2 linked regions of the Schizosaccharomyces pombe genome follow. The protein of the gene in region 1 interacts with the protein of each later gene in a pairwise test. Each region holds a gene or a part of one and is shown in the gene's direction. Other genes may lie near its edges.

Evidence for each region.
Region 2: the proteins of git1 (region 1) and cyr1 interact in binary tests that used the Schizosaccharomyces pombe proteins (3 or more experiments, as listed by UniProt).

The regions. Positions count from the first base shown.
Region 1 is NC_003423.3:3,833,198-3,837,128, reverse strand, and holds the start of git1 (C2 domain protein Git1), read left to right. Parts: upstream 1-2,138; 5' UTR 2,139-2,635; coding exon 2,636-3,931. Other genes in the region: splicing factor Cxr1, read left to right, coding at 1-1,286.
Region 2 is NC_003423.3:2,817,471-2,821,401, forward strand, and holds the start of cyr1 (adenylate cyclase), read left to right. Parts: upstream 1-2,331; 5' UTR 2,332-2,537; coding exon 2,538-3,931. Other genes in the region: N-end-recognizing protein, UBR ubiquitin-protein ligase E3 Ubr1, read left to right, coding at 1-1,755. UniProt on the Schizosaccharomyces pombe protein: Acts in glucose-induced cAMP signaling by catalyzing the synthesis of the second messenger, cAMP to activate PKA signaling and repress sexual development and gluconeogenesis.

The DNA.
Region 1 (3,931 bases):
TGGACAATGATTATAAATCAAATGATGAACCCGTACAATCTCAAGATCCGATTTCTCCAAATATGGCATCCAACGAATCTGGAAATTCCGAAAATACTAGCAACTATGGCTCATCAAGAGATGAAAACGTCTATCAAAAAACGACGCTTTGGATGGGTGAATTAGAGCCTTGGGTTACTGAAGCATTTATCCAGCAAGTTTGGAATACTTTAGGAAAGGCAGTCAAAGTAAAGCTTATTCGTAACAGGTACACAGGCATGAATGCTGGCTATTGTTTTGTCGAATTCGCATCTCCTCATGAAGCTTCAAGCGCGATGAGTATGAACAACAAACCAATTCCTGGTACAAATCATTTGTTTAAACTTAATTGGGCCTCTGGAGGCGGATTACGTGAAAAGTCTATTTCAAAGGCCTCAGAATATTCCATATTTGTGGGAGACTTGTCACCCAATGTCAATGAGTTTGATGTGTATTCTCTCTTCGCATCTCGATATAACTCATGCAAGTCGGCCAAAATCATGACTGATCCTCAAACAAATGTGTCAAGAGGATATGGTTTTGTCCGTTTTACGGACGAAAATGATCAGAAATCTGCATTGGCAGAAATGCAGGGTCAAATTTGTGGTGATCGTCCTATTCGGGTGGGATTAGCCACTCCTAAAAGTAAGGCTCATGTTTTTAGTCCTGTGAACGTTGTACCTGTTAGTATGCCACCAGTTGGATTTTATAGTGCTGCACAGCCTGTTCCTCAGTTTGCTGACACAGCAAACTCAACCGTATTTGTTGGCGGTCTCTCAAAATTTGTTTCTGAAGAGGAGCTTAAGTATCTTTTTCAAAATTTTGGAGAAATTGTTTATGTCAAAATTCCACCTGGAAAAGGTTGTGGATTTGTGCAATTTGTCAACCGACAGTCTGCTGAAATTGCTATCAATCAGTTGCAGGGTTATCCTTTGGGCAATTCTCGTATCCGATTATCTTGGGGAAGGAATCAGAATCCAATTGCGGCTCCTGCCTTGAATTATCAGTCTCAGGTTTCACAAACTACTATTCCTGCTACCTCATTATTTCCGGCAATGAGTTTACCACCCCAGGCTCAGTTTAGTCCATATCCGGCTGTTGCACCTTCCCCCTTAGCCCTGCAAACGAGGGGTGCACCGATTGGCATGGAAATTTCGATTGGATCTCCTGCCCTCGTACCTGATCAAATGCATATTCCTGAAAACGGCAACTCTGATACCATGCCTGTTCCTAACACACAAGGAAAGCATTTATCAGCTGAAGAGTAATGTAAAAGTACTTGCGATTGAATTTTTTATAATGGCATGTCTCATACTTTTTATCATCATTCTTGGTTTTTATAAAGTATGAATAATTTTCCATCTATTCTAATAAGTTTGATGTTCATAATGAATCACGGAGAATTATTGTTTCGAGAAACGTGAGAGTTCTTGTAAACTCTATCTGTTATTTTGGACGTTAAATCAAGAGAGTCCCTTAGCATAATTGATTAATAAGCATTTTACATGTGTTCATGAATTCGAATTATCGAAGAAAAGCTTGAACTAAATTTTTGTTGGACATAGCTTCATTACGTTTCCTTTCTAAGGATTGACGGTTTTTATATTCATCTCTCCCTGTTTATGATATGAAATGCTACGTTTTTTTAGCCGAAATTTTCATTTGTCATGATTTTTATAGTCAAGAAAAAGGTTTTCATACGACGTATATAAAAGATTAAATTTAATAGTAATGATGGACTTCAGAATTATCGCACTGAGATTTTTAGGTCGCTGGAGAATGCAGTTTAGGCAAGGTATGTAAGTGCTTATTGAGATTTCCCATTGATAAACAACTTTTAAGTTGCTTCTGGTTTAATCATTCGTTCTTTTAGGTATGAGTTTAGTTAAATGATCAGCGCCATTTTCAAAACATTTCATTCAACCAAAAATCAACCGCCTCTAAATTCAATTTTATTTGAATGATACTCCCTATTTATCGAAAAATCCATTCAATTAAAATCTATTATTAACTTTTCATCCATTTAAATCTACTCCATTTTTAAAGCTCTTGTTTACAGAGTAACAACGCGACTTGCAACTTCTACTACGCCAGGGGGGCGACTGTCGCAATAAACAACTGACAGAAAACGCACTTATAGTATAGGCTCAAAATCTTTTTAAATCGTAGCCTTTCCCATTAATACGAATACATCATCAAATTCAGTTTTGCGATTAAGTATAAACGGGCTTAACTCGTGCGTTTATATACTTTGTCAACGCTGTGATTAGTATTCAACCTTTGACGTTACACTTTATTAACCTGGCTCGATACTCTTAAATAAGACTCTGGAAAGCGACAATTCTTATAATTAATTTTATTTTTTATTTTTTAACCTGTGAAAAAGTTTTAATCTCTAGACCTGGAACGATCATTAACATAATTGTGTACACATTATTGAAATCCAGCTTATAAATGAATTTTGATCTACTAAATAATTTACTCACCGATCCAAAGAAGCAGACAACATAAACCATCACCTATCGCTATTTTTACCTTCATCCATTAAATAACACCTTCATACATTCCGAACACCAGGTTTTTGCACTCTCTACTCAGCAAATCGGAAAGGCTTAAAATGGGATTCACTAGTGTTGAACCCCCAGATTTTTTTGATTGGACTGCCAGAGCTATATTTTTATTATCGACATTACGCAGTCGCAGAAATGCTAAGCAAATTGAGCGTGAAAATGCGCTTTTGGATCAAATCAAGGAGCTTTTAAGTATTGCCATTATTCAGTGTCATGAAAGAAATATTCCTTCGATAGATCTTCCCCCGTCTTTTTTCAATTATGTTTGTGAACAGCTACCCAGGCACCCTTTTGCTAAGATAGCTTCGAGCTACATAGATACGCATACTTTATTTTTTCAAATATCTATCAGCTCATTTTTATGCCGATTTTCAAACTGCTCAGAAGACGAGATCAGGCTTTTTAAGCAGCACCAGTCCCTTGATAGTTTTTTACTATCCTTGTTTGACCTCCTTTGTAGTCACCACTTTTCCGTTGAATTTACGTCCATATCACTAATTATCAAATCTTCGCAGTGGTTATTTTATACATTATCCGATTATGCTCATGAATCCTTAACAGGCGTTGAGGCTGATATTACAACGAAATTTCTTTCCACCCTAGCTGATACTTGGCCAGAATTCGAAGAGCAGTGTACTCTTAGCAAACATCTTTTTCTTTTAGGTGACTTTTCGCTAATCAGCTATGTAAAAGTTTTATGTGGTGTATTTAATATCCCTAACTACAATGCCTTCATTCTAAGTGTCGAGGATCTACTTCCGGAAAATATATCCTTTGCCGCCGTTGCTGATTTTCAGTTATCAAAGTATAGGGCAATTAACGACAATTCTGTATTAAGAAGTGACGATTTCTCATCAAAAGCTGTGTTCGACAAATACGTTGAAAGGGAGTGTTATTACTCAGAAAATGCTATTAGTAAAATTTTTCAAAACTATCCTGATTTGGCTGTCCTTTTTGAAGAACTACAATATGCCGAGGGAAACAATGATCTTCTATCTGCGATTTTGAATACCAATAAATATACTTTGAGACCTGATGATTGTGCTCCATACTTTTATCGTTTAATGGATTTGTGCTTACGTTATTGTTATAGCCAAAGTAATGAAATTGGTACCAACGTTTTATGGAGCATGACTACAAGTTTCATCAACATTTGGCGTATTCATCCTGGAACATGTTGTTGCGTGGTCTTAAGTATATATTGGCCTTATCTTGAGGATAAACTCCTAAAGTTTTCGGACCTTGGAGATATTTTTGAATACTTCTTTTCTTTAATTCATGATTGTGATTATGCGATTTGGTCAGTCCATGACGAACACCAATTTTCGGAGTTATTGGCGTTT
Region 2 (3,931 bases), 1.0 Mb from region 1:
AATAAAGACTTAAATCAGCAACTTCTTGACATAGAAACCTCCCCTTCTGAGCACACACAGTCGTACAATTTAAATCTGCTTGATGTATTACAACACACCTTACGAGACTCGTTGAAAGATATATATACCCTCAATACTGGTGCTGATAATTCCAGTGATAACGTTGAAGAAAATGCGGATAACTTATTCCAATCGAGCGTATTGGATCATGTCCATTTTAAGAGTGTTGTAAATAATGAAGTTCCTGCCGATGAACGTCTCGCTATTTCAGATGATATATTTGAGCTTTATCGGAGGCTTGACGATGTAATAGATCTTAATTCTTCTTTATACTCCGATGATTTTATTCCAGTGAACGGTAAATTGCATAATGTTGTTAAACTCTTTTCATACAGCCTTTGCCAAGTTGAAGCATCTACTAGAGGACACATAAAATGTTCAAGTATTCCAGCGGATATTTGGGTGCATAATCTTGGAAAAAATCAGCAAGTTTTTTTAAGGATTTTATCTGAATCTATCAAAACTTATACTTTGTTATGTGCACATGATTCACAGAAGCGTATTGGGGGTTCAATTCAAGAGTTTGAATTTATTAGTTTCTGCCAACAAAAAAGGATATTTGGGCGACTATTGCCCTCTCTAGATTCACCGGTTACCAAATCTATTACTGATGATAGAGTTGAGCCGTTACTTGTGAAGGATACATTTCGAGAATTCGCCGAAGCCAGTGTCTCTGGTTTATTATCATGTGACGAATCGTTTCACTACTTGACGCAATTATACTATACTGCCGATATAGTTCGAAACTTATGGATTCTTTTGTCACAAAGAAACTCTTTACTGAAATGTATGGAATCAGTTGAATTTGAAGCCTTTGACTATGAGCAGCTAAAGGGGTTTGAGCACTTAGTTATCCAAATTTGGAAAAGTCTTCGTGTCGACGGAGCAGGATTAATCAATTTTGATTGTTGTACGGAGGATGATCTAAATAATCCTCATCTTTTGTTTACACTGTATAAACTATTGGAAAGGTTTTCTCTAATCTTCCTTCGAAAATGTGCTTTGCTTTGGTATTGCCGCTATGGAGTTTCATTTGAGACGCAACCGAATTTAAACTTTCAAAATTCAGAATTATCACGTTTACAAACAAAAATGCATATTCCAGGTGTTATTGAATTATCTAATCATCTTTGTCTTACGGCATCTTCCACAGAATGGAGCCTTATAAAGCACTGGTGTAATTTCTTTACAGAGACTGGTCCTCTATGCGATTTTCCTCGCGCTTATTACCCTGGAATTTATGAACTAGTTTCTTTACCGTATGAATTGGATAAAGTCTTTGAGTTACTATTGGCCAGGCGATGCTCGAAATGTTTAACTGAACCTATGGAACCAGCGATATGTTTATTTTGTGGGAAGCTCTTATGCTTCCAAAGTCATTGTTGTTCCTTTAATGGTATTGGAGAATGTAATCTTCATATGCAACAATGCGCTTCTGACATTGGAATTTTTCTTATTGTCAAAAAATGCGCTATTCTCTACCTCAATCCACCTGTAGGAAGCTTCTCTGTAGCTCCATTTTTGGATGCGTATGGAGAGACAGATTTGGGATTGCGTCGTGGCCGCTCTCAATATCTATCACAAAAACGTTATGATGAAACAGTACGAACGATGTGGCTAAACGGATCTATTCCTTCTTATATTGCTCGACAACTGGATGCGAATCCAGACACCGGAGGTTGGGAAACACTTTAGGCTAAACAATGGGAGTTTACGTGATCTAAGCTACTAATTTTTTTAATGCTTCAAACACCTTGATTATTTATTAGGATATATATACCAAAACTTGACATTTTATCATTTAATTCATATTCATTGACCTGTAAATATAGGTTACTTTACAAACATTTCGTCTCATTCAAACAGTCAATCGTATTGCCCTTATATTTAAGGGGCGAGTATCATTTAAGGATAAAATTAGATGAAAGTTTCATGAATACTTTAAAACTCAGTTTGAAACTTTGATAAAAGAAGCTTTTTTAACTCATCAGTCAAATCCAATGTTAATTAATGGAAGGAGTAATGGAAAGCCTTCAAAAAAAAAAATAAAAAAATCATAGTAATTAATTCAAGACCGCCTTCATCTAGTATATTCAGTAGATTTGTTTACAAATCGATGAAATAGTGACGTACGCAGTATTCGAACGCGCCTTACAGTTTCTTCCTCACTAATTCACTGAGAACACATAGTGTTGGAAATTACCACTCTGGAATATAGTTTAGAGTTAGGAAGATACATGAGGTGTTGGAACCCAAACCCTTTCTTGTTCTAAACCTAACAAGTGATATAATCAGACAAAGAAACGCTGGTGTTGGAACTAGGATAATAGAGCAAATACTAGTTCTATAAATTCAATATTCCTTCCTTGGATAGGGATATAACCATTATTGAATTTTCCTTGTCCAAAATTCGCGTATAGTGGTATTTTTGAAACGAAGGTGCTACAGATTCTTAGGAAGGATGCAAATTGCCACTAATGGATCAAAGCAAGCGATTGTTAAAGTCAGCTGTTCCAAACCCGCCTGAACATTTTAAAACAGGTATATCCTGGCTTGATGACCTTGACGAGAAGGACGATGACTCAGCGACGTCTGTGAACTATGATATACCAGAAATAACCGAAGCAAATCTCTGTAATGACTCCCATGAAGCTCTTTCACCTTGCACTCAACCTGTCGGTAATTCTGGACGACCTGTCGAAGCTTTTAAGACCTATCCTAGCACTCCTGCAGTACCTAGCAAAAGCGTGCTTTTCCATTTTTATGAACCGGATGAGAACTTTAGCTTATCTGACACGGGACGTACTAAATCGGATACCGCCTTAGCTGCAAGAGAAAGCTCTGAAAAGTCTGAAGTGCCACGTGATACCCGTAGTGCTGGGATAAAGCCATACAAAGAAAATAACTCGTCTAATTGTGCAATTTCTAAAGAAGCAGGCCTTCGAAGACTTATTGATAAGGACAGAGAATCTTTCGACAAAAACCTGAATCAGTCATTTACCAATCTAACTTTTCCAGAACCGATTTCTGATGACAGTGACAGTGTGGAGTTTCAACGTGATTCTCTTAATAACAATTGGCCAGCTAGTTTGGAAGGTAGCATACACGAATTACCCAGGAATAGTGATGATGATGGAATCCCTGCTTCTGCGGCTCATATCCTGGACCTCGATTATCATAGAGATAGTTATGATAGCCCTTGGAAGAAGTTTTTACCGTACCCTTCCATTTTATCCGATGATTCTTGGAAAGCTCCGGAGAGTTGGGGAACTAGTTTGCCCACTGAGGCTATTCCAAAGCAGGTTTTTACTACTAGATTTTTTGCTCGTCCTTCCCTGGGCAATAGAAAGAAAGAGTTCTTTCTTCGAGTATACCGTGATGATCGAACTTCCGTATCATTCATTTGCCCTATTGGCATACAAACTCATGAAGTGATTAAGCTGTTAGCAAGGTTATTTTTTCTTCCCTCGTCTGCTAATTTTTACCTCTTATTAATCCAATTCAATACAGAACGTATTTTGTTGCCTCATGAACAGCCATGCATTATATTTGAACGATTATTGAGTTTGTTTGGGTGTAAGGTAACTTCCGATGAAGAAATAAATGAAGAAGATAATTATAGTGTTGCTAGATTGGTGTTTACTACGATGGATATTGGAGCGGATGTATTGCGTAAATTCTCTGAAAAAAAAATTACTGCGAACCTTGACATTAGTAGGTCAAACCTGGAGGTTATTCCGGTAAAGATCTATCCCTATGCCCATGAACTTATCTCGTTGAATGTTTCGCACAATTTATCGCTGGACCTGCCTTTAGATTTCATGGAGCGCTGTGTCAAGCTTAAGCGGTTAGACATTTCCAATAATTTAAG